Linked DNA regions of Schizosaccharomyces pombe. Changing the gene in region 1 together with any one later gene gives a genetic interaction. Each region holds a gene or a part of one and is shown in the gene's direction. Other genes may lie near its edges. The genes, in order: pqr1, vtc4, atg8 and atg13.

Region 1 (8,358 bases):
AAACAAGGGGCATGGCTTTTCAACTTCTCTCAATCCTTATACGCTGTACTTTAAATCGTTCAGTAGCCAGCTTTTTAAAGAAACAGTAGGAAATAAAAGAAAACATGAGAATTTGGAATTTTAAAATCGTATTTCAACAATCGATTCAAGCTTTAACTAAAAATTTGGGCATACATTTACTCATGAAAGGATGGAAGCTCTGACTTCTATTTACGTGGAGCATATTGTTTTCCGTTAAATCGACAGTAATAATATATTTTTTAATACCTCTTTATTTATCCTTTTTTGCTAAATACATTATAATAATAAAAACCAAAACAAATCAAAAGCATAACTAGTATGATTTTAAACTAGCGATTTAATTTTCTTTTTCCAATTCACTATCAGATTGATTTGACTGAGACCTAGTATCCTCAGAAACATCAAACGATTCGTCGCTTTTAAGCAAAATTCCCTTTCTTTTTGGAATGACCTCCATGAATGCCTTTTCCCAATCTCTGTACTCTAACCAAAGAGATAATATTTCAAAGACCTGATTAACCGTAAGTATTTTCCTATCCGTAATTTTAATGTATTCATCAATTGGAAGCTTTGCAGTTTTGATCCCTTGCTCAGACGCTTTATTTTGACATAAATTTTTGTACCGATTCTTGTCGACAATCGCACCAATAATATAAATCTTGTCTTCATCGAGTTCGGTGATGGTGTTATCTGAATCAGCAGAAAGATATACTAATTTTTCTTTTTGGGATTCAAATTCCTCTAAATAAGACTTAGTAGTTGGGTTGTATCGTTTCCAATTATTTTGTTGCCCCTTTAGCACAAAATCTTGTCTGGTTTTCAAACGTCCACCAAAGTTGGTAGCAAAAAGTTCTACAGGATGTAAAGCTGTACGATTTGCAGAATGACATCTAGTAACCTGTTGACATAAAGAGTTGATTTCTTTATCGTTCATCAGATCATCAAATGCACAATCCAAAACAATTCGGATACTACTAGGAACGACCTTTCCTAGTCTGATCCTCTTCTTTTGACTTTTAACTACTTCGCCAGCTTCAATTTTTCGCTTTCTTTCCTCTTTTCGTAATCGCTTTTTTTCCCGGCGCATCTCTGCTCGCTTTTCACGACCTGCATCCCACTCTTGCTGTCTTTTTAATCTTTTTAATGCAGATTTGCTAAGAACGGGTTGCTCTTGAGTTTCATTTTTAGAAACGTCAGCTTCAGAAGTATTTGTGTCATCTTTACCAATATCTAAAGCGTCTTTGTTTTCCATAATTTCCCAACTTTATTGCAGTCAAAATATAGCCTAAATTTATCTAGTTATATCGTTATTTTGAACCTAGCCAGGCTGTTCATCTAATGGAAAAAGTAAGAGTGTTGTGAAGTATAAAAAGTTGGTAACTACGCCAATCTCGCAATTATTAACTTTGGGTAATAAAGGGATTCAGGAAGTCGAAAATAAAAAAATTTTGCAAAATTGTATTATTTACAAACTTCGACAAAACAAGCTTTGAAAAATGGCAACAAACGATCAAAAAATCGATAACAAATCGACGGTATCAAATATGCTTGAAAATCCTATGTTTCAGACATTTTCAAAAAAAGAAACAGAAAAGCCATCACTATCTGAATATATGGAACAACTTACTTCAGAGTTTGGAGAAGAGCTAGACAATTTAAGGCAAAAGGAAATTTTTGATCATAACAAACTACAATTGCTTATTGAAAGTTTGCGTGCTGGTCACAAAATTTATGAATAATGGTTTATATAACTTAGCAAAAAACAGACCTGTATTATTCTATTAAAAAAGATAAGCTTGCGGTGCTAATCTTGATCCAACTTATCGTCTTCGTTCAAAAAACCATCTTCGGATGCTGTATAAAACTCGTTATCAGAGATTTCGACAAAAGTAAATGTTTTTTCTATTTCCTCAAAACTTCTCGTATAGAAGTCAGAGGAAGAAACTTTGTTCGAATATGGGGATTCGCTAGGAGCATCTTCGGGTTGTTTATTCGATTCCGCGTTTTTCTGGGCTTCTTTTGCGTGCTTTTTTATTTCTTGGTTCATTTTCCTTAAATTTTTTTTATGTTTTTTGCTGTTTTCATGGTTCTCCAATTGATTTTGTGATCGAAAGTTCTTGTTACAAACCATACACATTATTGGATTTGAATTCACAATTTCTTTGCTCAAAGATTCATCATCGCTGGATGTTTCTTCCTGATCGATTATTGTCCAAGACGCAATTGATTGGTTTTTAAAAGTTTCCTGGTACTGACGCCGATCACGTTCACTTTGCTTTCGCGATGCTTCTTGTAGGGAGTTGTATCTTTCTCCATCGCTTAGTTTCACAACGTTTTTTCTCCGTGGATCAAGATCACATGCTTTTCCTATTAAATCTCTGACAAGTTCGTTATATCGCTGAATGCAGTATTGTATCTGCCTTTGATTTTGTCTCTTCATTAATCGCCGTGTAGCTGCATCACTTTCCTCTTCTTCATTATATAGAGCTTCCCATTCAAAAGATTTTTTCGTTGAAAATCTTAGCCATTTTTGATAAATAGGTTTGGCATACGTCCAAAGCCAAGTTGTGTCCCCTAAAGTTGGAAGGTCGTCTGTGGAACCCGCTATTTTTTCGTCTTGTCGCAGTCTTTCAACGAACGCTGAGGTGCTTTCAAAAGGGATTTTCTCAATTGTTTGTAGATGCTGCAAAACGTCTTCAATTTGTACAGAATATTGGTTTCTTAGATAGTCTTTTTCATGCCATTTTCGTTTATCATCATTAGAGAGAATATTGTATGCAGCGTTTATTTGGGAAAATATTTCGTTATAGTCTTCAATGCCCGGATTTCTATCGGGATGATATTGCAAAGCTAATTTTCTGTTATGATTAGTAAAGATACACAAAGGCGATCAATTCTTCACAACTTAAACGATTATGTTTTAATCACAGATCGAAAAGCTGTAAATTTATATTCTATGTTGATTGATTAAGTTGAAAACAAGTTTTCATACCGGTAATTTGCTTTAATCTCTTGCAAGTCAGAGTCATGATTCACTTGCAAGATTTCATAGCAATCCATATCCTTAAAAGGGTTATTCATGATTGGTGATAAATAATTTGCATAAAATCATAAGTTAACCAGTAAAAGACTTATATAAAGTAGCTTCAAAGACAAAATTCCAAGGCCGAGGAGTGGAATGAATTATCAACCGCAATTGAGATTGCTTGTGATAAACTAACAATTCAATTCTACAATTGAAATACAAAAAAAGCAAAAAAATTGAGAGTTGCCCGTTCAATCGCCAAAATACAATACCTTCAGTACGTTCTATGTAAAATGGTGATCTTTCTCACAAACCGGCGACAATAGCTCCCAACTGTGTTTCAAAAAATGTAGAAAGAGACAAAAAGGCGAATTGACGAGAAACAACGAATCAAAATACTGTTAATGCTAAAAAATAAAGTAATATGCTATGGGTAAATTAAATCTGTGTTGACAAACCCGCAAATACATAATATGGTGTGGTCCCTCACGTCTCGCCAATGCTGAAGTAAATAAATACAACAAGCGAAACATAAGTTAAAGTTGTGTACGAAATCATTTGAACCCTAAATAAATTTGTGTTCTATACATGCAAACTTTAGACAGTTTGAAATCCGAAAAATCACTTTTGTAAAAAATGAATATATGAATAAATATATATATTAACATATATTGATATATGTATAATCTTAATACAGTTTACAAACTACTGTCTTCTTAATTAAGAAAACATGGTTCTCATGAAAACTTATATTGTTATTTAAGGTCTTGCTGCTATATATGCATTAGCAAAATGCACATTTCCAAAAAATGAAGTTAAAATTATCAGTTTACAAAAGACATTGAACTAAAGATCAAATTTTTCCACAACCGAATTAAAATGTAAGATTGTGTTTTTTAGAAGAAGCCAATGCGCTAATAATAATGCCATGCTTGCATTGCTTAAAAACAAACGAACTTCTTGCCTTCATGTAGCAAGGCTATTATCACGAATTTTCATGTTAATTTCGCTATGAATGCTTGGTCTTTTCTGAGTTAATCAATACTATTTAGCTAAGGTTTCGCTCATATAGAATACGAAAATTTCGCATTTATTAATGCAAATTTCCTCGATGTTTTTAATATATTGTGTTGCTAATCTGACTATATAACACTGCCTCTTCAAGGGACAAATAGTTTTAACAAAATTTGTTTACATTATTGAGTCAAGCAATTACGACCCGATGTTATAAGCATTACGCAGATTTCTTTTACAAAAGGGAGGTCTCTTTCATTTACCCCAAGCTTAGCATTACAAAATCATGTGCAAATGAGAAGACTACTTTTAGGGAAAATAAAAATCTAAACTTGATTGGAAAGCGAAAGTTTAAATCCTAAATTGTTTGAGGTTGACGTGTTAGTTTTTCACCGTAATAAGTAAATAGCATTGTATAATGAATAAAAGAAAAATTTTGATAGTTTAACAATTGCTGCTATTCATATTTTAATAGAATCTCAAAATTCATACTAATCGACTTTCTTATCCTTCTATATTCTTCAATATTTCAAACTCGTTTTAAGTCTCTCCTATAGCTTGGGATTATTCAATGAAATTGTAATTGTCGTCCTTTCCTTTACATTGTGAATACTAAAAAATTGCTTCTTCCAGAATTGTTTTATTGACTCACGGATTTGCAACATGTCCTTCTCCTCTTTTTTTTTTTTTTTTCTTTTTTTTTCTAATCTGTAAAAAAACCAAAATTTTACAATCTCGATAATCCTTTTAATGTCTATAGTCATCAAACACGTTTATCTACTTACTCAATACGATAATGTACAATAATTCCATACGAAACTTGCCCTTATCTGTTTTAGTTTTTTGTGGCACACCGTTAACTAATCGTGAATAAAATGGTTATTACAGTCATAGTCCGGTTTAATCGGATCAATCAAATATAATTAGATACCTACTTATTATCATATACATACAAAATTAAAAACAATACAAAAAAGAGGAAAACAAAGAGGCTCAACTTCTTACCGACTATCCTTTATCTCTCTTTTTTTTTTATTTTTTTTTATTTTTTCTCTTTTGGCACAGTGCTACAGAACATTTGTTCAACAACCCAACTCTGTACGTTTCACACATTGTCAGCAAATTGTTGACAATCAGCACAAGCCTCATTCTATAAAGCTAAGGAAGATTTCGTACCACTGCTGGTCTTCCAATTGCCCCTGCTTCCTTTCCTTTTACTGTAAGGCTTACCGGAAGGCCGTTTACTAATAACATTGCGAACCCGAGTGCGGTTGGGTAGTATTACCTATACCGCAAGTTCCTCCGCTCTTTTTATGACGTCAGGGGGAAATGCTTTGGTTTGCCACCTTGCGTCGTCTAACGCGGTGCAATATAAGGATGCGAAAGGACTGCAAGGATTTTCACCTGTCATGAACCAACAAGGATTTTGACGATTAGTACAGTGTTAAAACTTTTGAAATAGTATCGAAAATTCATTTACTATATGTATAAGTATTAAGGAGTTACGCATCTCTTTACAATTTTAAACACTCACGTACCTTTGGTTGAATCAAGCCAGGCAGGTCTCCGTTTGCGAACGACGGTTTCGGTTGATTCGAAACGTGGTATTAGAAAATCATTTTATTTATTTTCATTCCCATTCCATTTATCTATTCTATCTAATTTCGTCCCATTGTAGCTTGTTGTTTTATCACAAGCAGCTTTTAGGTCTTTGGGCTGTTACTTTTTTCTTCACTTCATTCCATTACTAATATATATATATTTTAATCAAAACGTACGCAATTCAACTCTGCGAAACTCTATCTTGCAAGCTTTCTTTCTCCATCTGCTTGTAATAAAGAAAATACTTAACTCCGATACTTCGATTGCAAAGGTCGGAGCACTCATTTTTATAAAAACCACAAAGCTTTCTCCTTCTTGGGCTTTGGTTTTTTATTCTGTAGTTTTACCGCCTTTCAAATATTTTGATTTCAATCTTTTGTAAAGGTTTCATCCTCTTTCATTTTCATTGAAAAAAAGTCCTTCCGATATGAAATTTGGACACGATTTTAAAAGGGCTCTCGAAAACGATATGCCCCCTGGTTGGGGCGAGGCTGCCATTCAGTACAAGGCCTTAAAAAAATGTATTAAAAGGTTCGTTTTTGAGCTGTCTTCCTTGGGTCTAAGTGCTGAGACCATCAGTAAATTGATGGCTCCGACTACCGTGGATCCCCAACAAGCTATTACGCTTAGTTACTCCCTTGGCAAAGAGGGACACATTGTTGTCCCCAAAATTATTATCAACGTAAATTTTGATAAATTGAAAACTGATAAGTTCGCTGCTTCAATGTTCAAGCAGTTGAATGCATCAAATATGATTACAACCGTCAGGAGTAATTATGCCTCAAATGTTCCTTCTACTCCTTCGGATTCTACTCAGCAGCCCCCTACCAATACGTTACCAAGTGTGTCCGCATCATCTCAGAGCGTAGAGACTTGTGAAACGGTTGATGAAGATATCGATACTCAAACTATGAGTTCTGACATGTCCGAAGTTCAAAGTATGGAAATATCGTTGAACTGTGACCACGAGTTTTTTGAAAAATTAACTTCGGAGTTGCAAAGTGTTGAAGGACTACAGCGTGAACAGCGTAAAATTCTTTTTAACGCAATTGATATCCTGAGTCATGAAATATCTCTTATAGCTTCCCCTAATTCCAAAAAGAAATACAAATCTCTTTATTGCTGGAGAAAAATTTTCGAAATTTATATGGATTCCGATATATTTATTTCTTGCAAGGAAGCTGATCAGAGTCATGAACGCACTCCCGAGCTCGCTGAGCGCCATTTGAAATGGTTTGACGATCAGGTCAGGCTAGCAAAATGTCTTCCCTCTTCCTCAAAGCATCGTGATCGTATTTTGTATGCTAAGTTTCTTGAACTTAATGAAAGTTTGTTGAAAGTTGCTTCTTTTCAGCAAATGAATAAGTTAGCCGTTACGAAGATCATGAAAAAGTTTGATAAGCGGACATCCTTAACCGCTCAACCTCTATTTTTTCAAGTTATCGAATCAGACCCTCTTCTTTTGGTCGACAATGCTTCTAAAGCTATATGCTTTTCACTCTCTTCTAAGCTATTCTCGATTATTCCTCAACTGAGGGATTTTGAATGCGCTATATGCTCTAACGTTGCTTACAAGCCGGTGAGATTAGGTTGTTCCCATGTTTTTTGTTTGCATTGCCTTATCATTCTTCAGAAACAGAAAGTTGATTTCTGTCCGTTGTGTCGTGCCAAAGAAGTTATGAAAGCCGATTCTCGCAATATTGATCACGCCTTGATGAATTTTATGAAAACATATTTCCCAAGAGAGATTAAGGAAAAGTTTGAAGAAAATGAGAACGATACGTTTACTCCTTCTTCAATTTCTGTTGTATCAGGTCAGAACAATTGTGTGATAATGTAGATAGACGACGGATTTGTTTCCGCTAAATTCCCAACCCTCTCTTAAAGGCTCAGGACTATTTTTTACTCACTATATTTGATTATCTGTTTTTTTATGTTTTCCTTGCCTAATTTGCATACTAACTTTCTATTTTTCTTTCCTCACCTAACTTTTATTGCTGTAAATAGCATTTTCGTGTGTTTCTTTGTTATAAACGTTTGCTTATAATTCTCGGTTTTTTCTTATATTTAGCTTTTTTAAATGCTTGTACATAATACTTGCTCATCACATACCATTAATCTTTACTAAACCGAACATATTTTTTAAAAATCAACATAGACAATAGACATTTATAGAATTTTAGCTTACAAAAGCTGTGTAATGTTTTAGGAAATCGTATTCGTAACTTAAATTTACCAAATTTGAACTCATTATTCATATTATTCGGAAGTTCTTGTAGTCAACCTCTGATGTATTTGTAAACTTAACGTAACTTTCAGCAACTAAACATTGATAGTCCGAAAAACAATGCTTTTATCTCAATTCCTAAGTTACCCACTTACAGTGTTTAATATGTCTCTCTTCACAGATTTTAATGAATAATTGTGCTATGGGTAGTAGTTTTTGTGTTTGGAACACTAGCAAAAGCTGTTTTTTGCTTTCTAAAACCGACTTTACCGGAGCATCAAGAAGTCCTTTGCCACGATTTCACTGAAAACTCCGAATGAACAAGATTTAAGATATTTGACAACGTTTAAATCCGAGTATTTCGCGGAGTAATTTAAGGCTGTTTACAACTATTACTAACTCAACCTAATATCGGAGTAGTTTTGAGCGTTGTACTTTTTTGTTATAAGTGGAAGTAATTATACTTCAC
Region 2 (8,712 bases), on another chromosome or scaffold:
AATAAAGCCCTGTTTTTCCATTCGAGCACGATCGACATAGAAAGTAGCTAAAAAATTATTGTTAATATTGAATTTGTACGAAGAGCTGAACCATACCTCTTTGAGCATCTTGCTGGGCAATTTGCTTGGCCTCTACAGCGGCTGTAAATTCAGGAGAGAATTGAACTATTGGATGCAGTTAGTATTTTAAGGTACAAACGCTTGACTAATGTTAGTCATACCATGAGTAAGTGAGACATCATCAAGCAAAATATTGAATCGGGCTGCTCTCTTCATTAAATTCTCGCGAACCAACCTAGATACACGTTCACGCTGGGTGATCAACTGGCTTGCATTAAATTGAGCTACAACGCTTTTTAAGACTTCATTAACAATAGAGGGCAAAACACGTTCATCATAATCACCACCTAAAGTACGATAAATTTTTGGCAAAGCATGAACATCGGGACGAGACAAAACACGACAATTAATGTTCACCATTTGTAAATCTAAAGAAAAATGGTTAACATATTTCTAGTAATACAACCAACAAAAACCCCTCAAAGCTTAGCTATTCGAGAAGAGTAGAATCCATAAACACAATTCATCACTTTGCAACTAAAAGCTTAATTCACAGTAGGTATAAAAACCAAATGAATGTTTCTTACAGTCACCTTTAGTTATGTACGCTCAACGTTTTAATTCTTGTAACCTACCTTTCGTTCCGGTTAGAGAAGATATATTTCGTGGTTTAGCACGAACATCGTAATCAATGGCCGTTTCGATCCAAGGAATCAAGAAGTGGGTTCCTTCAGGATATATAAGGTTTTTAATTCCTCCAATCCTGCTATACTTAATAGCTCGGTGACCACCATCAACGTTAAAAAGAGAAGTCTGCACAGCAAATCCTGCAAGGCCAAGAGCTAACAACAAACCAGTTCCTGTAAAAGCATATTTTCCTTTAGGAAGTCCCCGCTTCATCAAATCATTCATCTGCTGGAACGGTCTTTGACGATTCATACTGAAAAGCTGTATACGGGAAAGAAAGACTTGTAAAATGAATACGTATAAGTAAGCATTTAAAATGGCACTTCAGTATACCTTATCCATTTTATCGTATTGTATCATAGTACGGTATTTGAGTTGGATTAATGTTGTTTTATATGCAAAAAAAAAACAAATAACTCGATAGTTTTTTTCATAATTTTCTTTTATTTTATTGATATTATAATATAAAATTAGCAGGAATTGAATACTGCTATTTTTATCGCTTTGTAGTGTGCAGCCTTGATAGAAAATGTGAGGTGCGTCGTTTTATTTCGCGAACAAGTTGAAACTTACTAAACTTCATTCATTATATGATTTATATTTTTTTTCTAATTACAAACAAAAAGGTATTGACGTTTTAATTTTAAAACTTGCTTTTTCAATAAACGGTGAACGATGTGCATTTAAAATCTAAACAAAAATATTTTTTCCCATACCTGTTATTTTGTTTTATTTTTTGAAACAAAAAAAACTGTAATTAATCAACTGTCTGATAAATAAACGAAGAAAAGCCATCGGGGACTCAAAAATATAAGTTATCAATTACATTTGCATTGTACGTTTAACAGCATTCTATGATTGAATTTTATAAAAGGTATGCTAAGACAATAGAATATTGCAACAATGTTACAATATTTAATATGAAACCGAAATTTGTTTTGCATTTTCTTATTTACTATCTTTTGGTGCAAAAGCACACATAAATGAATTTTTCTAGTAATTCTTTTACTTTTAATTTTCTTTGTAAACCTTCTTTCGATTTAATGTATAGACGGGCTTTGTTTTGTTTACAATAAATAAAAATATCTGCAATCGATACTCTACGAGACATAATTAAAAAAAAAAAATAAATAAAAGTAAAAATAAAAAGACATAGGCCCTTGGTCACAATAGTGATTGGTATAAACGAGAAACATAGTAATATGAATTATAATAGTCAAAAAATGTATACATGATATTTAGTAGTATTATAATTATTAGACTAATTTTTTGAAGTATATCTAAGGATCAAAAAGAAGCTTTATTGTTATAACATGTATTTTGAACAAAAGCTGCATAAATGAAGCATCATCCATCTTAGCGCAAGCTCAGAAGTAATATATACATAAAAGAAAATAGCCAACTTTATAAGGACTATATTAAAGATAAGGCCTCCCGAGGAGATTTGAAAATATTGTACGTTTGAACAAGCAAAGTAAAAAGGTAACGTCAAATAAACCTCGGAAGAATATATTCAATCTTTCAGCTCGTTTGAGATAAAAGTCATCATAAATTACTTAGCATTTATTTTAGCTGTTACGTCTACCTGGCACAAACCTGTACTAAATACGAGTAATTCTTTTCACTTTCAAATAACAGTAGTTTTCTTTTACGAAAGTTTTATCTGCAGGAGTTTCGAAAACGTCAAAAAGGAAAAGTAAGTAGCTCAAGTGTTCGCAGTTGCTTATATGAATCGTAAATGTATAATCTTACTCTTTTGATTTACTAATAGCGTATCCTTCTATGCCTGGCAATCGATAATCCAACAAGACACAACTAATAGTGACATACAATTGATGAACACTGTATCAATATCTCAAGACGACACTTAAAAGTTAAGGGATACATTCTACAGCAGGTCAAAGTAGATACATTCATCATAGTGTGTTTATTTCAACTGTTTCTATTTGTAGCACGTTGCTATTATAATTGGTTTACATTTTTTTAAGTAATCTAATTTTTGACGTCTTAAAAAAGTCGAAAACGAAGCTTATAACTAACAACAAAATAAAAAGAAGCACAAACAGAAAATGAATACCAAATACCAATTTAAAAGAGAAGGAAGCTGATCAAAAATTAATATAGATTGCTTAATTCAGTGACGCAATATAATTAATTTCTGTTTTCATGAACTTTACTTTTGAGACATCTGCTTCAACTTTTGCTTTACGATCTTCTGCTCTTCAATCAAGAAGGCACGAACAATTCGATCCTTGACAGCATTGGCGCTAAGGCATCCACCATAGGCACGTTGGACCTTCTTCTGGTTGTGCGAGAGACGAGCGAACTCACGAGGACGCAAAGCAGGAATACCTTGCAAGGGAACACCGGTATCACCGCAGCGAGGTATAGTACCAAGCTTCTTAATATGAAGGTAGCGAATGTTATTACCGGGAGTCTTGATGATTCTGGTTTTGTTGCTACGAGTGTTGTATGCAAGACGACGACGATAAGTAACTCTTTGAGCCATTTTGAATTATGAAATGAAAATGAAAATAAAATTATTAAAATTTTACAGCGCTGATTTGGTTGCTTGAATGCTATTCCTTAATGAAATATTCCTAACTATCCTTTTCCACCGAAAAAAAAGGCAATCGCAAAATTCAAGTGTACACGTTCTTTTTTTCTATAGAACCCTTAAATTTATGATAAACTGACCAACTTTGTCCTCTTGTTTTATACTTCTTCTGTTAGAAGTGTAAGGCGCACGGAGAGTTGATTATTGCTCTGAAAACCAACTTTTTGCGTGACTGTTTGGGATCGTGAAACGGATATATCGAGGCATAACAAACTCAACGCAAAATAACATAATGAATTATACTTAACTGCTTTAAAATGAAGATTATTTGAAATCAGAAATATCATGTTTCGAGGACATTTTGCTTTTTAATTTGCATCAGATTTTCACACCTAAAAAATCAACTTCTTCAGCTTTGAAATTGATTTTGGATCGCCTTTTCCCGATCTTGTCAACTTTTGAGTTATTTCATCTTTACGCCACTACCACCCTGACCATTTTTCTCTCCACCACACCTGCAAACTACCAACGTTCAAGCTCGTTTAATTACAGATATATTTACAGTTTTTTTTTGACTCTACAGAGTTTTTTTTGGAGTTACCTTTTTTTTAATTTTTTTTGTGCTTAAGTTATAGCTACAAAAGTGCTTGTTGTCTCTTTGATTGTTTTGTGAACAAATTTTGTGATATTGAAGATTTATTCGTAGGATATTACTGTTTGGCACTTAAGTTTGTCAAATACTAGTAAAATTCCCAAAGAGGAAGATATTATTTCCCGTTTGCAGTTGTTTTTCACTTTTTTTACTCTTCGTCGAATTTTTCAAGGGATCACCTAATAACAGTCTTTGATATTAAAAATTCAATCATTCTTTATTCCCAAATTTATACGTTTATTTTCCCTTGAATCCCTCTTTATTATTTACTAGATTAACTTATTGAAAATTGCAACATGAAGTTTGGTCAGCTTTTGAAGGAAACGTTGATGTATGAATACAAGTATTCATATGTCAACTATGACAAACTAAAGAAGGAAATTAAACGCCGCAATGATCAAGGTGGTTGGAGTGAGGAAGACGAGTCGGACTTTGTTGAACTTTTAGAAAAGGAGCTGGATAAAGTTTATTCTTTTCAAAAGAACAAGTCTGCCGAAGTTATGGAACGTATCCGATTCTGTGAAGAACAAACTGATGAAGTTGTTCGTCGTCTTGATAGTGATAATCCTCCCAATGAAAATGATTTTGCAATCTTGGAAACTGAACTTACCGACATTATGGCTACTGTCCACGATTTGGCCAAATTTAGCGAACTTAATTACACTGCGTTTTATAAAATCATCAAGAAGCACGACAAACATACAGGTTGGATCCTTAAGCCCGTTTTTGCTGCTCGTTTAAATGCTAAACCATTTTTCAAAGAGCAATATGATTTATTGGTTGTTAAGCTCAGTAAGCTTTACGATTTCGTTCGTACTAGAGGTAGCCCTATCAAAGGTGATAGTGCTGCCGGTGGTACACAACAAAACTTCGTGCGTCAAACCACTAAATATTGGGTTCACCCAAATAATGTTACCGAATTGAAGATTTACATTTTAAAGCATCTTCCTGTACTTGTTTTCAATCCTAACAAAGAATTTGCTCGTGAAGATGCTGCTATTACTAGTATCTACTATGATAACGATGATTTGGATTTTTACTTAGGCCGTTTGGAAAAGCGTGAAGGCGCCGAAGCTATTCGTCTTCGTTGGTATGGTAATATGGATAACAACAATATCTTTGTTGAACGAAAGACTCATAGAGAAGACTGGACTGGTGAAAAAAGTGTGAAAGCTAGATTTCCCCTTAAAGAGAAATATGTAAATGCTTTTCTCCGAGGTGATTACACTGTCGAAGAAGCATTTGCCAAGATGCGTAAAGATGGCAAGAAGTCTTTGAAAGAAATCGAAAGTCTTGAAAGGCTTGCCAAGGAAGTTCAGTATACTGTTTTGAGCCGTGGAATGAAACCTTATGTTCGCAGCTTTTATGAACGTACTGCATTTCAACTTCCAGGTGATGCACGTGTTCGTATTTCTCTTGATACGAACTTGTCATTGATTAGGGAAGACGGTCCGTCCCGCGCCGGTAACAACTGGAGAAGAATGGATATTGGAATTGACTATCCTTTTGATCAACTTCCTGATGAAGATATTGTTCGTTTCCCTTATGCCATTTTGGAGGTCAAGTTGCAAACTCAATTTGGTCAAGATCCTCCTGAATGGGTTAACAATCTTGTTAATAGCCACCTGGTCGAGGCTGTCCCTAAGTTTTCCAAGTTCATCCACGGTGTATCTACTCTTTTTTACGACCGTGTTACTTTGCTTCCATATTGGTTCCCACAAATGGACATTGATATTCGTAAACCTGCTACTCACACTTTCATTCAGGGACGCAGTCAAAGCGGTACTCATAGTTCATCTGTCTCTGCGAATGTACTCACCGATTCTGAGAATACACCAATTCATGCCGATGGTGACAATTATGTTGACGAAGAATCTCGTATTGGCTCATCTAGTACCCGGAATGACAATTCTACCTTCCAAACATCGGACAGTTTTCAAGAGCTCGATGAACGCACTAATTTGCTTGATATTTCCAAAAGGAAAGGACGTGACTCATTCGTTGCAGCTCTCAACAGCAGATTAAAGGACATTAAGGATTCATTTTTCTTGGAGACTGTACCCAAGTTCGAAGAACCTACTGAGCCTACGGTCATATATGAACAAAAGTATGTGTCGCCTCCTGGTAAGCGAATTTATGTCCCAGTCCGTGTTGAGCCCAAGACATATTTTGCCTTGGAGCGTACATACCTGGACTATCTACGCTATTCTATTTTGATGGGTTCCATCGGTATAACTTTATTTAGTTTCGCTAAGACGCGATCTGGTATTTTAGGAGCTGCTAGTTTCACGTTGGTAGCTTTATTTGCTATCTTCTATTCCACGTTTTTGTACTTGTGGAGAGCTGTTAACATAGCCAAACATAATGCGGTCCGATATGATGATCGTTTTGGTCCTACAGCTATATGCGTGATTACTTTTGCTGCAATCAGCGCCAATGTTATCTTAAACTTCAATGCATAAACTCATTGAATTCTCCAATATATTTAGAATTAGCAATTGAAAGATAATACAAATCAACTACATCTTTTAATAATTGAAGACTAATTATCGGTTTAATAACTAGTCTTAATATTGCATTTTTTGCATTAATATGCGTTAATTTAATTGGGAACATGGTCAACGGGGTTTTATTTGGGTTTCTTACTATTATTTTTTGATTGCTTTATAGCATATTATATTGGGTTCTTTAATTTTCTTTCAACTGCTTCACAGCACATTATTCAGGATTCTTATTTTTTTTAATTGCGTCGCAGCACATTATTCGGGGGGTTTTTATTTTTAATTTTTAATCACTTTTTAGAATACATTTTACAATCTAGAATTTCAAAATAAAATATTATTTAAAACAAAAAGCAAGCAAAATCATTTAACAGTTATGTCTATGGTCGCCTATGCAGAATAATTTTTCCAACCAACTTTTTCTAATTTATCAGCCTTTTCTAAAACAATCTCTTTCATATTGTCCATAAAGCTCTCCATAGCAGCCAAAAGGGAGGGTTGAAATGTAGCAAGTATACGACAGGCTAAAATACCGGCATTTTGGCTATTATTGATAGCAACAGTGGCGACAGGGACACCTCGAGGCATCTGAACAATAGAGTGAAGAGAGTCAACTCCGTCAAGAGTGCTTCCTTTTACAGGAACGCCGATTACTGGAAGAGGTGTCATTGCAGCAACCATACCAGGCAAATGAGCGGCACCACCAGCACCAGCAATAATCACACGCAACCCTCTTGAAGCTGCGGTACGAGCATAAGTAACCATGCGATCTGGTGTGCGGTGAGCTGAAACAATAGTAAGTTCGTAAGGCACCTTGAATTCATCTAAAATGACGGCAGCATCTTTCATCTTGCTTAAATCAGAATCCGAACCCATGATAATACCAACAACAGGTGATTCGACAGGATCTTTGACGTCAAGAAGCATCTGATACCTACGTTCACATTCTTGAGGTGAATCAGAAATGATGGTAACGTGTCCCATCTTGCGACCCTTTCTAGATTCAGCTTTACCATAAAGATGCAAAGTTGCACCGGGAATGGACAGAGAACGTTTAGCGATCTTTGAAACATAATCAGGATCATCAGTACCTAAAATATTTACCATCAACGCATGAGTTGTGGAAGTCGAGAGTTGGGTGTTGATTTCGCTGAAAGGAAGACCACATATGGCCCGTAAGTGAGCTTCAAACTGAGAAGTTGGGCAAGCTTCAATGGTGTAGTGACCTGAATTGTGAGGCCGAGGAGCAATTTCGTTGAGTAAAATGGTCTCACCATCTTGCAAAACAAACATCTCTACACCATATATACCAGCGCCTTCAAAAGTGCGCACCGCATCCATGGCAAGGGTTTGAGCACGCTGTTGAATTGAGAAGGGAAGACGAGCAGGGGCATATACTAAATGACAAACATTATCCTTTTGAATGGTCTCAGTTGTAGGATAAGCATAAACTTTTCCGTCTAAACTGCGTACTACCATCACTGCAATTTCCATGGAGAAAGGAACGAACTTTTCAACATAAAGCGGACGATCACCAAGTGCTTTGATGGCAGTAGGAATCTCAGATGGTTGATGAACAACGTAATTTCCACGACCGTCGTAAGCCAATGTTTTACTTTTCAGTACAAAAGGATAACCAAACTCTTGGCCTGCTTTTTCAACACTTTCCTGGTCAGGTGCATCGCAAAATTCAGGAAGTGCAATCTTAAAAACCTGTAAATGCTGTTTTTGAAGATATTTGTCTTGAATGCATCGCAGAGTTGCAGGAGAGGGTTCAACAGCAACAGATTTCGTAACGGCTGCCAAGGCATCAGTGTTAATATGCTCAATTTCAGTTGTTAATAACGTGCACTTCTTAGACAGTTCAACAATTGCATCGGGGTCAGTAAATGATGCATCAATGTGCTCACGTCCTCCATCAATTTGTTTGGCAGGAGAATTTGCTGCATCCAAGATGATGCATTTGATGTTTAAGCGATGGGCTGCCTCTACCATCATTCGGCCCAATTGACCACCTCCAAGGATCCCTACAACCTGTTTTTCGCTCATATTCGATGAAGTATGTATATACCTTGGCAGCTCAGCTTAATGAGATGGTAAATGTTGAAAAAACGAATCTTTTTTTCAAAGTTGTTTATTGTAGTGAGTTAGTGCGCAGTTTATTATTTGAGTTTTGCATCGTATTAATTCTGTCATCGTTACATTTCCAAGCATTGTGAAATGCAACTTTAAAGCAGCATACGCTAAAATCAATA
Region 3 (7,007 bases), on another chromosome or scaffold:
CTGTCTATCAGTCTCATTTGCGAATTAGCAGAGTATAATAAGGCCATAGTAATAGCTGCTGACTTAATTTGCCAGTCATTATTATAGTAGTGCTTCCTTTTGTTTCTACTGTAAGTTTCCATTAATCGTTGACCAATAAACTTGTTTATGAGATCGACTTTTCTTCGAAAAAACTTAGGATTGTTGTAAGGTTGTTTTTTAAAACAAGAAATAAAAAAATGATGTGTCTTCTCGTTCAAGTTAGATAAAACTCCCAAAATCCTCTTCAAAATGCTGCTACTCTTGTTCACTATATTCTTTGATTTTGAGTTCAACAAAGGATTTTCCAAAAGAATGAGAAGATATTGATAATCCGCTGGATCATGACAATATAGCATGGGTCTCCGAAGTAAACTCTCGATAGCTCTTAACAACTCATTTGTTATTAAAATGTCTAAATTTGTAATATCATGGTACAATTGGTAAATGAGCTTATAATTTAGTCCGGAAGATTGGATTGAACAACCATTTTTAACCGAGAACAGTTTATTCAATATCGGTGGACTTCCAAATACTAAGGATATAAGTTCTCGTAATGGTAAGCCTGCAGCCACAATAGCTTGAACGTTGCCAGTTCGCTGCTTAGCAAGTTGCAAGGCACTTCGTGTTTGATGAATTGTTTCAACAAAATGTTCAACTGAGATAAATTGTGATCCATCGGTTGAAGCTTTTGTCTTTATTTGGGAGCCACTTAAACAAAAATAAACATCGTTCACAGTCATACATAATGAACAACGAAAGCACATAGCTTGTGCAGGGTAGCGCAGGACGCTATTACAACAAATGCAGGGCCTGATCACCTATAATTTTGTTAATAAATTAGCCAAACAATTAGCCTAAATACCAATTTCTCTGAATTCCCGTAACTATCATTAGAAATTGTCTCATGAAACGACTGTCGAAGTCGAAGTGGATTTTCACCCATACGTTGACAAACTAACTCTCTTAAGCGACGTGATATTTTTGAATTTGTATTATTGTCAAGTTCTGAGCGGCTAGAAAAACTAGAGCCATGAAGTGCTGGGAGCGTTCTACGGTTTCCAGAAGACACATTGGCTATTTCAATAGGGCGACTCATATAAGCAATTCACCTTCTAAGAAAGATCTATATTTCGCTCTACAGATAAACAATTGGGACTAACCCAAAACAAAAAGACAAATCTGTAAAAGTATGGTACATATCTAGGCCATACTACACTATACATATATTGGTATAGTTATTTCTTAAATATTACGATATTCAACAGGTTCTCATGGCGTAGTCATTCTAACATTCTTTCGTCAAAAGATCATCACAGTTGAACCAATTTTCTAAGATCTTTGAAGGTGAATACTGTTAAAACAGATAAGTTCTTTACTCTTCTTGTATAATATGTATGTCATTAAATGCAGAAGTAAATATTATGACATTTACAAAGAAAATTACCATGTCGACTTCGCAGTACCTTATTTAAGATTTTTGAACGTTCCTACATTGATGATACCTTTCATTTTAAATTGTCAAATTACCTAGTATGTACGACTATTCGTAGGAAAGTTGATTTAAGAAGATTATGATTTAAACATTGAATAACATCTAGTATGCTAAATAGGCCATCCTAGGTAATAATGGTGTAGTAAGAGAAAGAAAATAGAAAGCAAAAATTTGGTTTATAGGTTGGGTCGAGTATTCCTTTGAACCGGAGGTGGAACAGAAGTTGGCGAGCTTACACCGGACGAATTACTAGAAGTTCGGGCAGCAAGTCTTCTTGGCTTTGGAGGTGCAGGTGGAGGTGGTTTCTTAACAGGCGACGCTGTAGAAGCAGCAGTCGCCGCGGGAACAGATCCAGATGCATATGAACTGTTTTGAGAAACCCTTCGGGGAGGAGGAACCGGCAAGGGTGCATTTGCAGAAGCTGTAGGGAGAGGAGAAGAGGCAGTATAATTAGCGTTTGACTGATAAGTTTGGGAATAAGAACCAGAAGAGCTGTAGGAGGGAGGTGGGGGCATCTGAGACATTACATTAGGACGAACAGGAGGTGGTGGGACTTGTTCTTGATTTAAGACGGACGGACGACTCCCTGGTCGACTAGGAAGTGAAGGAGTCCCTCTTGAAGGAAGAGCGGGTTCCTTGGGGGGCTGTGAAGGTTGGGAATAAGAAGGCTGCGAATAAGAGGGTTTCGAATAATCTTGATTTCCTACAGCCGGGCTAGCCGTTCTAGGTGTACTTCCAGTACTACTACCACCGGCACGCAACTGTGAAGCATGTTTTGGAGGAGGAGGCAATTTTGTAACATCGACATATTTTATTGATAAACGAGGCCCGGTTCCATGAACGGATCTAATATCATACATAGCATCTTCGCCATGTTCACCTATAAATCCCATTTTGTTAGTAATGTCTCAAAAAGCAAAGGAAATATGCTTACCTGGTAATTTCGATGTAATCTTATTCTGGAAGCGGTTCGCAGAATCCGACATCGAATGCAGTGATTTTTTTGTTGAGTCAAACATTACGATTAGTTTGAAATTGATTTCTCACAATTGACGCAAAAACCGATTTTACCCAAATGTTTGCGGTGGACAGCTTCCGACTCTCGAAATTCCTTAAGTCCGCTTTTCTAAGAGCCCATAGGGTAAACAACTACACAACGTGCTAGTAATATCAGCCAGCTGATAGGAAAAAATAATGTCTTTGAGTTCTTTTTGATAAAACATAACAAAATAGTAAGCAGCTAATAAGCTTCGCGTTTGTTGTCAATACTTACTATCAGAATTGCAGCATTGCTATTACGCTTGCTAAATTGGATAATATACGTAGAGTTCTATATTCATTCAATTGAAAACTTGTTAAAATCGCATTCTTTATGCGTATATTAGTTATACAACTATGGCTGTCAGAAAATGCAAACAAACTACCACAAGAAGTGATCCTTCCAATGATAAACGTTTATGTTAACAGAATGTAAAATCATTGCTTTTCAAGTAAATCTTATAAACACTAGATGTTGATGACTTTCATAAATAGAAAGTAGGGATTACAATTCATCTGTTCCGTCATCTTCAACATTTTCTTGAGACAACTGCCCAGATTTGATAATTTTTACATCTTCAAGAGGCTTATCACGGTTGTCAGTCTCAGCTTTGGAAATTTTCTTGACAATATCGTAACCAGAAAGGACTGATAAAATTAGTATTAGCAAACAAAAAAAAGGAAAAAGAAAACAAATAGTCACTTTTATAAAACATATACAACTACAATATGAATTCTTACCTTCACCAAAAACAACATGGTGTCCATCTAACCAAGGTGTTTTAACTGTAGTAATGAAAAACTGAGATCCATTGGAATCGGGTCCAGCGTTAGCCATGCTAAGCAAACCGGGACGTTGGTGAGAAAGCTTAAAGTTTTCATCAGGAAAACGGCTGCCATAAATTGATTTTCCACCAGTACCATCACCCTTCGTAATATCACCACCTTGAATCATGAAATTGGGAATAACGCGATGGAAAATAGATCCTTCATATCCAAATCCCTTTTCTCCGGTGGCTAATGCGCGGAAATTTTCGGCTGTTTTGGGAACAGTTTTACCAAACAATCCAATGGTAACTCTTCCAAGGAACTCATCACCTTGTTGCAAGTCGAAATACACTGTGTCTGTAACTTTGGGGCCACGGTTGGCAGAGATAAGCCCAAAGAAAAGAGTAAAAAGTAAAGAGAAATAGAACAACTTCATTTTTGTTTTCACAAACTAAAAGCTTCGTTGTGTGGTAAAGGATAAATAAATAGTTATGGTGGGGTTTAATAGCAAGACTCGCTAGATTTTGGTTGCTGTAGCAACTTTTAGCACAATGTTAAGCAAATAATTCAAGAAGCGCTTATTTGTTTACATCAAACACTACTATTTTTCTAATGGTTTGATTATTTAATGAAAGATAGAAATAGTAATTATTTGCAAAATTCTATTTCCTAACCTTTTTTGGAAGGTATTTACGTGTTAAGCGTGCTATTATTTATTTACACAACGTCTTTATTTCCATTCTTGCTTTTCTTCCTAAAAGAGTTGTGACTTTTGTTGTACCAAGGATTGAGTATATACCAATTATGGCTATCATACTATAAAGAAGTAGTAAAAATTCCTTTTGATTGTGTACTGCTTAAGATTCGTAAAGTATTTATTTATTACGAAATAAGGTAACTTATCATAGTATCATAAGATTGCTTCATATCTCTGTATACGTTACCCAAGGGTACGCTTATTTATCCAAGACCGTATACCACATAACTCACGCACCGTTTACAAAGAACACCGAATTTTGAAGCAATTGAAGAGAGGAGTTACTACTTCAAGCAAGAAGTTTGAGAGTTCTCATGCGTTCTCAATTCAAGGACGACTTTTCTTTTGGTATGTGTCAAAAACTTATAGAAGTTGTTTTTTGGACAGCATTGTAGAATACCTGGAACTAGTAGGCTAATTAATAATCAGAGAAACGAAAAACAGAGTCTCAAAGAATCCGGGAAAAATATCCCGATCGAATACCTGTAAGTAGAGTCTGGTGGTCAAAGAGAACAGGTTTCAGAGCAAAATAGTGGTGAATTGAACAACACCCATTGTTTTTGTCATCAAAAGTGAATCCATTGTTACAAGTCTGACCTTTTTCTTTCAAAAATACAAATTACGTTTTAAACTTAACTGCTAACTTAACAGGTTATTTGCGAGAAAGTTGATAAATCTGATATTGCTGCAATAGATAAAAAGAAATATCTCGTTCCATCTGACCTTACAGTTGGTCAATTTGTATATGTTATTCGCAAACGGATAAAACTTTCTCCTGAGAAGGCCATCTTTATTTTCATTGATGAAATCTTGCCCCCGACAGCGGCCTTGATGTCAACGATATACGAAGAGCATAAAAGTGAGGACGGCTTTTTGTATATCACGTATTCAGGAGAAAATACATTTGGAACAGTGTTTCCTTTTTAGATCAACAATTTGCCTGTTTTAAGATGGCCCCGCCTTCTTTTAATTGTGATCAGCAAAATTGTTTGTGGACAATGGTTGAATGATTCTTTATGTTTTTTTTACTCTGCATTTCTAGCTTTTTAGCTTTCAAGTTTCTTTGCTTTTGCATTATGATTATTTTACGCGCGTCTTATACATATCATTCTCAGGTTAGCCACCACGATTTTAAGGATGTTTCAGATTTGTCTTACAATAGATGTGATGAACGCTTATGACTAGTTTGCTTTGACAACAAAGTTATTTTACCTTGTTAATTAATAAAAACCATCAATTAAAAAAATTGATTTTGATTTTCTAATAATATTAAAATGTTGATAAATAATAAGTAGATATATATCATCAGCTGATTCTATCCTTTTTTACATTAACTGGTTGTCATAATAGCGAATACTATTCACATGCCCCAAAAAATTGGTCAATCGTAAACTTTCATAATTCAAGCAACAAGTGTTATAACTATATTTCAAAATAAAGCCCACTCCTGCATTTCAAAAATTTCAGTAGCATTTCATCACTGAGAATGCTCCATCTTTATCGATGGGCGGCACCTGTTGATAATAAAACTAATTTCTTCTTTTTTTTGTTTTTTGAGTTTTTGGAAGGTGCAGATAATTGAGCAACTTTGTCCCAGTCAACTTTCCAACCATCAAGATCGTCTTGATCATCGGTGTCATTTTGAATATTGGCAAGAGCTCTTGTTCCCCAAACAGTCTTTGCAGTAGATAAGGTAGACTCATCTGTATTAACCTCATCGGTAGATTCAAATTGATGATGACTTCCCAATGTGGGGAATGCTTCAGCAGGGTCCTCATGCACTACGGTTTTTGGCACAGGTCTCTGCATATTTAACTCGGAGTATATCTGTTCCTCTGTATCACGTTCAGCCCGTTGTCGATACCTTTCTTCTCTCATTTCTTGAGCTTTACGTTGCTTGCGTCGTTTACTGATTTCTGATTTGAAGGTTAACAAGACTTCTTTGGGAATAATCTTAGACCAATCACACTCAATAAAGGCAACTTCACAGCCTTCAGGTAAATGAGCCATATATTTGAACCGCTGACGAAGCTCAGAATTCACTAAGTGACCGGATGATATTCTTTCTACCCTAGGAACAAGCTCATCAGGAAAATTTTCGTACGATCCGAAAGCAGATTTTAAAATACGAATATCTAAAGGAGAGAGATAGATGTGGGAGTGAGCGAAAGGTTGATAGAATAGATAGGCATCTGCGATTTCAGATCCGCTAACATCATTCAAATCGTCAACTTCGGAAAGCTGTTTGAGGCTATTACTTTGAAGGCAAAGATTATCAATGTCGGTTTGCAAAGATTTGATGTTCTGTTCATTAACAGATTCAGATAAAGATGAGATTCGATCTAACAAAATTTGTGTGATTCGTTCATAGTATGTATCTGCAGACCCATATAATGAAATATCTTCAGCAGCTATTTGCTGAAGCTGCTCAATTTCTAATAAATGTTGTTGAACCATATAATCGTGAGATCCAATAATTATACGAGCGTACGCAGCCCCGCTCATAGTAAAATTAGGAATTTCATCTGAATGAAATGATCCATCTAAAGCAAAAGATCTACAAGATCTAGGAAACGCAAGTATAGATCCATTATTCCTCTGGTATAAACGAAGGCAGACGGACTTTCCTTCCTCAAGTTTCTGAAATTCCTTGTCTTCCACCCAGCGGATAGGATGAACATCTCGTAAACGTATGCTATCCCAACAAATAGGACAGCTACGATGACCACATTTTACTATCTTGGTGCCAGAAGTTTCAGCGGCTTTAACCTCCGCCGCCGTAGGGGTCTCGACGAATCGAAGCAAACAAGAAAAGCAATAAACATGCCCACATCTGGACATCCTTGCAGCGACAGGCTTTTCTTCAAGGCAAAACGGGCAAGCTGCTAGTTGAAAATCGGAAGAGCAAAGTACTTGCCAAACATCCTCCCA
Region 4 (9,058 bases), 2.4 Mb from region 1:
ATGGGTAGTGATAGTGAACAGTCTGCAGATGAGAATGACAATGAGTCAATGGCTTCCGAAGAAAAACCCATGTTTTCAGACGAGGAAAATCTTTCGGAGATTGCACACTCTGAAGATGAGTTTGATGATACTGTTGATTTTTTTGAAGATGAAAATGATTTGCTTCCGTTCAATGAAACTGACGATGAGGAAGAAATACAAACCGTTGATCATTCCGAGACCCATTCTCATAAAAAGAAAAAGAGAAAAGCAATTAAAGATTTACCTGTATTTGCTGATGCTGAGTCGTATGCTCATTTACTCGAAAATTGATTTTTGCTGCTTAAGTATTGTAATTCAACATTTGGTTATTTCGTATAACTTCGAAGGTTTATTATATTCCTTTTTCCGTTGGTTAGGGGGCGATAATGGATATTTTAATTGGGATTTGCATATTTCGGGTATAGTTTTTTTAGATTAGAATTAATTTGTTAAAAAAAAATTTTTTTTATCCCTATACCGGCTTTGTATTGGATTTATAGTAAGGATTGAATTTTATCATTACTATTTACAAAAGACTATGATTTTCTAGTATAGAAAGTAATATACTCTATGTTTTAAGATGACCGTAATTTCAATTCCCCTTATCAATTGAATAAACAGAAAAATTAATTCTTATATAAACTAAGCGCTCTTTGATTTAATAGTTACTTTACACTACTAAAGAATTTTTGGGAGAATGTTAGCTGTTTTGTTTCAATTTGTCTGAGAAAATGAATGTATTATTTGCTTGTGTTACTCTAAAGAAACGAAAATGCAATCACATCCGTCAGACCAGCAACGATTTATAATAAAAAAGAGATAAAAAATGAAAGTTGTTAACAATAACATCATCAAATTAACAGAGCTTTTTGCGAATATTTTGGTCATTTTAAAAGTTGTGAAACATGTAAAATTTCAGAATGATGATGATCTGCAGTTAAATTTAACGAATAAGCACTTAACGCCCTGAAGTGCAATATATTGCTACACAAGTTATTAAATTTAGCACGATTTGAAAACTTACCCCCTAGCTCAATAATGTAAACATTTATAGCAGCAAAAATCGAATAAATTTCCAGCGGTATTTTTTCGAATTGCGGGTAGGGTGTGTCTATTAGAAAACAGAATACCCTTGTCAAAAAGAAGATACAGGCGTAAACCCAAAAACATGCGCCGCAATATATCGCCATTCGTTTTAAAATATTTAAAAAATTTCGAAACAATGCTAAAAAATTAGTATTGATATTATGGTGTTTAACTTACCTAGGTAGATTAGCCCTCTGGCAATCATCAAAACTCCAAACAAACACCACAGGAAGATTTGTGCCGAAACTGTTGCTTCAAACCCGTATTCCTTTGAAACATATTCAATTAAATCAAGAAAGGCTAGCAAGTAGACTCCGTATCCAAGTAAGGAAATGACAAATATTTTTGAACGGCGTGTCTGAGGTTTTGAGTTGCTGTTTGTGATTGTCGCCTGATTTCTATTTCGAAGATTATAATGTTCCTGTTGAGTAGTCTTCGGTTTTTGCTTGTCATCTTGAGTTTCCTGTCGATCAAATGATGATTCCTCTTGATTGCTCGAAGTCTCCTGTTGATTAGCTTGTGGTTCCTGGGGTACAGCTTTTTGACCAGCCTGTGGCTCCTGTTGGGTGACCTTTGAATAAGCTTGAGGGTTTTCTTGAACAGTCTCCAATTTTTTCCCAGCATTCTGAAGCTCCTCCTCTTGAACTGTCGAAGTTTTCTTTTTGTCCGTTTGTGATTCCCCTTGAGTAATGAAAGCTTCATATTGAGAGTCTAATTGAGGATTTCGAGGATCCTCCTGGTCAGTTGGAAAGTTCGCTTGACCAGTGTGAGATTCCTGTTGATCACTTTCAAAGCTTTGCATTCTTCCCATTTCAATTGAATCAATTCCCATCTCCAGGTCGCATGGTTTTTCTTTTGACTTTGTAAGAATGAATGATTTGATTACTTCCTTCAAGTTATACATTCTATGTCTCTGTTCATGCTTCACAAGTGGACTTGACGATCTAGAAGATCTATTCTGTTCATCTTCATTTTCGTCATTGACATTTTCCGGACACGGATCCTCTAGTAAGGTCTTCTGAATATTTCCAGATTCTGAACCATCTTCCTCCATTTCTTCTTGCACGTTGAAAATGGTTTCATTTTCCAAAACGTAAAAAGACGACAATGATGTTGATGATGTATTCTCGTTAAGCATTTCTCCCATTTCTTCAACTTATCTCTATCTTATTAATTATTGTTAATATTGAAGCAGTAAATCTGTTTTCAACAGTCAGATAATTTATAATTGGGGAACCGAAAAATGAAGACTTCTAAATAAAAACAAATAGCAGCAGTACAATTAAAGCCAAGCGATTATATTGGATTTCTAAAAAAAATAGAAACACCTTGTAACCAACAAATTTGAAACTTCAAAAAGTAGTATTTTAATCTTGGTGATTTGGAATGTAAAGAATATATAACATTTTGACAATTGATGATGAAAACATCGCAGCATCATGACTTATGGCATCTGCAATTTAATAGCAAAAACAAAAATTAATTAAAGTCTCGTTTCTTTATGACTCCTTATATCGTTGGTAAACCAGAGTACGAAATTCAAGGTATTTTAGTACTACCACATAATTTAATTCCTTTTTTTTTTTAAAAACGAAAAGGGCTGAGCAAACCTAAGCTTGCAAAACTTAGTACTGCCAAAAAAATGAGCATTTTATTAAAACTAAGAGCTCTTAGAAGTCAGTAATATCCTTTTAACTTCGGGTTAAAATCATGACCATTACCTTTAACATCAGTTGCATCGCTTCAAACATGATAATACTGAGGGTTTTACATTTAACTTTCACAAAAGTGATAGAGAATGCATCCTAAATCAATAAGCTAGTGCTTGTAAATGATTTTAATTAGTTAATAATTACCGTACACTCAGCCAACATAAATCGACATTATTGTTTGTTTTCCATAAGCGATGTTTGTGTATTTGGGTTTTAAAATAGCGAATATTTAGCGGCTGTCAACAAACATTTCCTACATTTAGCAATACATTACGTATCATCATTTGTTGTGCAATAAAAAAAAACGGTTAATATCCATTTATTGACAATTTTCGAAAATTGTATGTTTATGTCCGAAGTTTTTTCGGATTAAGGGAATCATAAATCAAATAAAACTCAGATTACTTAATTACTTGTTGTAGGTTATGCTCCATTTATTGTGAATTTAAATTGTTCCCTTCAACAAGACTACTTGCAGCACTGTTGCACATAATCCCTTTATATTCCAAAATAATAGCTCACAAAACAAGATTCACCGCAGTTTAAAGAGCCTTTAAATATAGCTACCATTTGTCTTATAACGTGATCGAAAGAAATCGTATTTAACGCAACGCTAATATTTACCGTGCTTCGTTGGAGCATGGCATCTGTAGTATCTTTTGCCGCTTACTACAATACTCTGCCTTACCAAATACGAACTGCAAAACCAAATTCATTCAATTAGGAAAACTAATTAAAAACTGCTTTATCAATTTAAAGAATGAGCTAACAATCAAATTGTTACATTAAAAAATTAATAATTTATACTTTGAAGTTGCAATTGAATTAATGGAAACCACATTGATATGCCGAGACTTAATACGCAGCTTCCTCGAATGTATTCTGCTCCCCCTGGGCATAGTAAAGCAGTTTCAACTGAGTTAAATAAAGATCTATCATCAGTGGGTGGTAGGAGCGCTAAGCTGGGCCAAGTCATTCACGTAAGTTAAAGTGTGTATCATAAGCTTGCTTGAGGTCCACCCATCCTTTACTTGAAAAGTATTAACATTTACAAATAGCATTGTTTTTATAAAACCGGATTAATAATTTTGGAATCCAGACTAAATGTATTTGGGACCTCTCGTCCTCGAGAAAGTTCTAAGAATAACAAATGGGTATGTATTTTTGTTTTTCTACAATGACGAGTATCGGTGTTATGCGCTTTATTCATACAGTGGTTTTCAAAAAACTCAAGATTATTTATCAATTACTTATCAGTTTACGTTCATCTCGTGCGTCTGCATAGAGTTTCATTTTTAAGCTACAGGTGAATAAGTTGATCACTGTACTATTGATGTATAAATGTGGAATTACAAATAATTAAAAAATTCATATTTGCACTTAATTAACAAAATGTAGTTCAATTTGGAAATTGTTGAAACTGAGCTTTATGCCGAGCAATTCAAAATTTGGAAGAATATTGAACTTTCTCCTTCACGAAAAATACCTCCAATGGTTTTGCACACATATTTAGATATATCTGATTTATCAAAAAATCAAACCCTTTCTGTTTCCGATGGTACTCATTCTCACGCAATCAACTTTAATAATATGTCGACAATGAAAATCGTACTTGAAAGATGGATTGTGAATTTAGATGGCGAAGCCTTATCAACCCCTCTGGAGTTGGCTGTTTTGTACAAAAAGTTAGTTGTTTTATTTCGTTCCCTCTACACTTATACCCATCTTATGCCTCTGTGGAAATTGAAGTCGAAAATACACAAATTAAGAGCTCATGGTACATCTTTAAAAGTTGGCTGTGCCCTCTCTACGGATGATGTTTTATCGAATGATTTCCTTCCTATAAGTGCTCCAATTTCATCCTCGCTCGGAAGCAGTATTGCAACTTTCTCTTTCAGCCCTGTTGGTACACCAGCTGGAGATTTTCGCATATCTGTTCAGTATCGTAAAAATTGTCATTTTGAGGTTCATGATTCTGATGCGTTACTCTCTAACCAGTTGTTATCTGCAGACAAGCATCAACTTGCTGCTTCGAACAATTCTCAAGATTTTGAAGATGGCAAACAGTATGATCAACCACCTCCTTCTTTTGCAACGCGGTTAGCTAAGCAGTCGGATCCGAATTCTCTTTTACAATCTGAAATCCAACATTTAGCTAGCATTGAGTCTATAACAGCTCAAGCAGCTCCTCTTGTTACTATACATCCTTTCAAATCTCCGTCATTATCTGCTTCCCCAGGGTCAAATTTTGACAATATGTCAATTTCTCCGAAGGTTGCAGTCAATCGTTATATACATCGCGGACCATCAGCCACCTCTTTAAATAAATTTTCAATGATTTCTGATGCTGCAAGCAAATCAAGAGCAAAATTGCCACCTCTTACATCTGGAAGTCTTAAGCTTAACACACTTGACATTTCCAATACCCCGAATCTTCGACGATTTAGCAGTAGTTTCGGTCCCCGCGAGCGTAAAGAAAGCTTTAGCTCTCGTAATCGTTTACCGCTAGTCAATCATCCTATTCGTAGCATTTTCAAACATAACGTCTCAGAGAATCCTATAACAGATCATTCTGAGCATGCTGTTTATGATAGTGAATTTGCATCAAAGGATGATCTTAGCGGTTTTATTCAACTATTAGATAGTCATGCACATCATTTAAATGCTTCGGAAGGTAGCAAATCAAGTGGTTCATTTCCAGGGAAGGTACAAACTTTGACATCTGGAATTTCGCCAGTTGCTCACCCTCATAATTCCTTGGGTAGTAGCAATGAAATTTTTGACATCGATACCTATAATCATTCAATTGATAATAGCGGATCCCGTTTTACTGAGGCTGTGAAGCATAATCTTGGAAATTCTAGCCATAGCATCATGCGCCATCACACTTTAGGTACGCTGCGATCTCGGCCTTCCTTCTCTGAAAAATCTACCTTCCCTGCTCCCCTGACATCCATTTCACAAGCTTCCACGTTCCAAGGAGATAACCGGTCTCCAAGCACTGTTATTCCTCATACTCAAACTGAAGTACCATCAGCAAACGATACTTCAAAGCAACTAGCATCTCTTCACGATATGCGGAAAAGTCAATCACCAATTTGTGCTAGATCGGCTACTTCTGCTGGACTTCCGCGTTTCGAATATCACACCAGCTTATCCAAATCACTGGAACATTCATCAACGCCAGCAAGCCTACAAGCAACAAAGACGCCCAGCCCTTCTTTTGTACTTGAGCCGGGAATCCCACAAGAGTACAAAAAGCACTTTGATAATCTTTCTGAAGAACGACGTCAATGTCTTACTCCTTCAACACCTACTTACGAATATTACAATGAGCATAACCCCAATTATGATGATGATTTATTGTTCACAATGACTGATATGACTCTTGAACCCCATGATGTTTCAGCTATTAGGCTTGGTTCTCCCAAATCCGATGATTAAGCGAAGCCTATGTTTAGAATTTGGAGTGATATAGCATCCATTTAATGCACTCAACCATTCTTGTTTTCTTTTAATTTTTTAATAGTTTTTTTCAGCTGCATTATAGCTTCAATTAAGCTTCGTTCCATACAAGTGAATTTCGCAATATTCGCCTCAATTCATGAGCTTTGGGCAGCGATTGAAAATACTCATAATGTCTGACTGTACTTTTCACATTTACCATGATTAGTATCTACATATACTGTTTATCTAGCTAGTGTAGGTATTAATTGAAATTGTAATTTAGTTTCTAATAATTTAAAAAATCACAGTTATTGAAAATTTAAATTTACTAGTTAGCAACAGAAACATCATGAATAATAGTAATTTGTTAGCTCTGTTTATTCTGTGTATAAAATATTAGCAACGTATACAGTTTCAAGATATTAATACAATCTTCTAGCTGCGATTTGAGCAATGTAAAACGCTATGATGTTTTACCATTGTTTTGAAAAAAAGAGGATGTTTCTTACTTCCTGAATATCGAAAAAAAGCACTACTATTTTATAAATTGGAATGTTTAAGATTAGTCAAAAACTATTTTTTTACCCTGGAATGCTGCACTAGAAGGCATTTTTTGTTTCCTTTTAGCCTCCCAAGAGGGATGCAGTTGCTCTGGTTTTTGAGGTGTTTGGTGCTCCGTAAAAGCATTTTCACGAGCAGCACGTTTAGCTTGCCTTTCTTCATACTTTCTCTGTCTTTCTTCACGAATACTCCTTTCTTCAGTCGCTTTTTTTATCAAATGGTTAGCACCTTTACCATACTTTTTTTCCCAAATAGCTTGTCTAGCTCTTTGACCACGACGATTTTTACGCTTCGGGATATCTACTTCTTCTAACTCCTTTTCGACAAATTCATCATCACTTTCGACTGGATCTAAGAAGCCCGCTGTAAGGGCAGGCAGATTAGTATTGTTATGTTTGCCCAGAGGAATTTCCAACATCTCATCATCAATTATAGACTTCCTGTTTATTAAAGTAGCATTTTGAAGAGATGATTCTTTTACACCTTCATTTTTCATAGAATATGACATAGACTTGTTGATTTCTTTGTCCTCAGTATTATCCAAAATCATACCAGTATCTTGATTAACGCCATCGGTGCTATTTTGAACATGGGTATTATCCACTTGGTCTTGATTAGAAGTTGATTTGTTTGACAAATCTACTTTTCCGATGGTCTTAATGGGTTTTTGGGTAGAAGACACAGCCTTTTTATCTGACAACTCTTGTAAATCGGGGTTTAAGAAACGAAGATACTTTTCGAGTATTGAGTTGATGTTTCGAATGGCATCAGATAATTGCTTGGAATTTAAAATTCTAGCAACGGTATTTCTCTGAGCATCCTCAGTCAAATCTGCAGGAAAATCAACATGAAGATTTTCGTTCAGTAACTTCCGAAAATCCTTGTTTTTAAGGATTTTTTTATAATAGCAATAATCAACAAATTTGGTGAAGTCAAATTGTTTGGCAAATTCAAATTCTGCCTCAAAACGGCCAAGAGTATCAGCATCTTCACTGGCTCTACAATTTTTAATTCTTCGTACAAGCTTTTGCCGTTCAAAGGTAGATGCCTTTTTCAATGCCTGTGATATTTTTTTCTTAAATAGAGGTATCTTTTTTGGAACATCATCGACACTTAATTGAGAGTGATGACTTTTTCTTTTGACGCCTTTGTGAGACGTAAAAACCATTTAAAAAATTATGCAAACCCTGAGTATAACCCACTAAAATCCAAAAAAACCAAATGAAATTTCTATAATAGTAAGTTTTGTGTTATTATGCCCAATTATAGCATAACCAGCAAAATATACAATTTTTTACCGATGTGGTGAAGAGTAATTTCACCGTATACGCCCCACAGATAATATAGCATCATCAGTGCTCTTTACAATTAAGGTGAATAATTATAAAACTTAATTTTAATCAATTCATATAGACTATTATTAGAATCAGCGAAGGAGTACCATTCTCTGTCCTGCTGGATTATGAAGCAAGCCAAAATGACTAGCATGCAGTTTTAAACAACATGGGCGCTTATTAAAATGTTTAAACTAAAATCTGGACTTAGTTTGAACAGTAGCCGCTGTTGTGTTCTTCTTTGTTTTAGTAACCTTAATGTTATTTAAGTTCAAAAGAATAAAAAAATTGCTTTGCCTTTAAATTTTACAAGTTATAATCGTTTAAACACGGGTGATTGAAACAGTTTAGATATATTCTTATGTATTCAGCTAATAACTCAGAAATGTAAAAACTGAATTTTAATATGTTCTATTTTTTTTGATTCTTTTAGATTGATCAATTGGAGAAAACCTGCAAGAGTATACATTCAAGCCATCCTCCTAGCAACTGTCGTTAAATAATTGCACCTGCTCTACGGCTTTAGATGCTCGCTCCGGTTAAGCCGAATTCATAGATTCTTTTCCTCTTTTTACATTTTTACACTCTTTTATAATATTCTTTTTATTATCAGCATAAATCAGAGTTAAGTGTATTGAATGAATAAAATCCAGCATATTTCTTTTATCACCAAAAAAAATCCTCTCGTGAGCTATGAGAGGGTTGGAGCGTTACAAAATCGATTTGTTCAACATTATTTAAATTATAAAGCAAATAAGGTTGAACAGCCACCGAAGCCAACGATTATCACTTCTCAAGTTTGTCCAGTGTATACACTGGGAAGAAGGGAATCTTCAATTAATTTTACCAAAGGCTTCCCTAAGGCTAAAGTTGTTAAAGCATTGCGTGGTGGGCAAA

Evidence for each region.
Region 2: of pqr1 (region 1) and vtc4, a mutation in one rescues a mutant of the other (synthetic rescue), as found in Schizosaccharomyces pombe (one study listed by BioGRID).
Region 3: of pqr1 (region 1) and atg8, a mutation in one rescues a mutant of the other (synthetic rescue), as found in Schizosaccharomyces pombe (one study listed by BioGRID).
Region 4: of pqr1 (region 1) and atg13, a mutation in one rescues a mutant of the other (synthetic rescue), as found in Schizosaccharomyces pombe (one study listed by BioGRID).

Annotation. Positions count from the first base shown.
Region 1 is NC_003424.3:2,420,935-2,429,292, reverse strand, and holds pqr1 (ubiquitin-protein ligase E3), read left to right. Parts: upstream 1-5,466; 5' UTR 5,467-6,089; coding exon 6,090-7,502; 3' UTR 7,503-7,847; downstream 7,848-8,358. Other genes in the region: DNA primase catalytic subunit Spp1, read left to right, coding at 1-124; tRNA m(1)G methyltransferase Trm10, read right to left, coding at 359-1,273; ribosome assembly protein Rsa3, read left to right, coding at 1,518-1,760; epr1 (ATPase co-chaperone protein), read right to left, coding at 1,826-2,879, 3,014-3,102.
Region 2 is NC_003421.2:1,316,131-1,324,842, reverse strand, and holds vtc4 (transporter chaperone complex subunit vtc4), read left to right. Parts: upstream 1-3,812; 5' UTR 3,813-4,252; coding exon 4,253-6,418; 3' UTR 6,419-6,468; downstream 6,469-8,712. Other genes in the region: prohibitin Phb2, read right to left, coding at 1-47, 97-165, 222-488, 696-999; rpl3402 (60S ribosomal protein L34), read right to left, coding at 2,921-3,256; phosphoribosylaminoimidazole carboxylase Ade6, read right to left, coding at 6,848-8,506. UniProt on the Schizosaccharomyces pombe protein: Catalytic subunit of the vacuolar transporter chaperone (VTC) complex.
Region 3 is NC_003423.3:3,682,649-3,689,655, reverse strand, and holds atg8 (autophagy-associated protein Atg8), read left to right. Parts: upstream 1-4,285; 5' UTR 4,286-4,390; coding exon 4,391-4,424; exon of another isoform or gene 4,425-4,505; coding exon 4,506-4,561; exon of another isoform or gene 4,562-4,727; coding exon 4,728-5,003; 3' UTR 5,004-5,375; downstream 5,376-7,007. Other genes in the region: mug30 (ubiquitin-protein ligase E3), read right to left, coding at 1-839, 884-1,117; SPOM_SPBP8B7.26 (uncharacterized protein), read right to left, coding at 1,690-2,393, 2,448-2,532; cyclophilin family peptidyl-prolyl cis-trans isomerase Cyp4, read right to left, coding at 3,057-3,199, 3,293-3,755; rnf10 (ubiquitin-protein ligase E3), read right to left, coding at 5,574-7,007. UniProt on the Schizosaccharomyces pombe protein: Ubiquitin-like modifier involved in autophagosome formation. With atg4, mediates the delivery of the autophagosomes to the vacuole via the microtubule cytoskeleton.
Region 4 is NC_003424.3:4,838,051-4,847,108, reverse strand, and holds atg13 (autophagy-associated protein kinase regulatory subunit Atg13), read left to right. Parts: upstream 1-3,505; 5' UTR 3,506-3,664; coding exon 3,665-3,799; intron 3,800-3,877; coding exon 3,878-3,973; intron 3,974-4,217; coding exon 4,218-6,263; 3' UTR 6,264-6,624; downstream 6,625-9,058. Other genes in the region: ribosome biogenesis protein Noc1, read left to right, coding at 1-312; protein mug126, read right to left, coding at 980-1,005, 1,046-1,246, 1,285-2,254; BUD22 family ribosome small subunit biogenesis protein, read right to left, coding at 6,829-7,995; lip2 (lipoate-protein ligase), read left to right, coding at 8,800-9,058. UniProt on the Schizosaccharomyces pombe protein: Component of the atg1 kinase complex that activates the atg1 kinase in a nutritional condition dependent manner through the TOR pathway, leading to autophagy.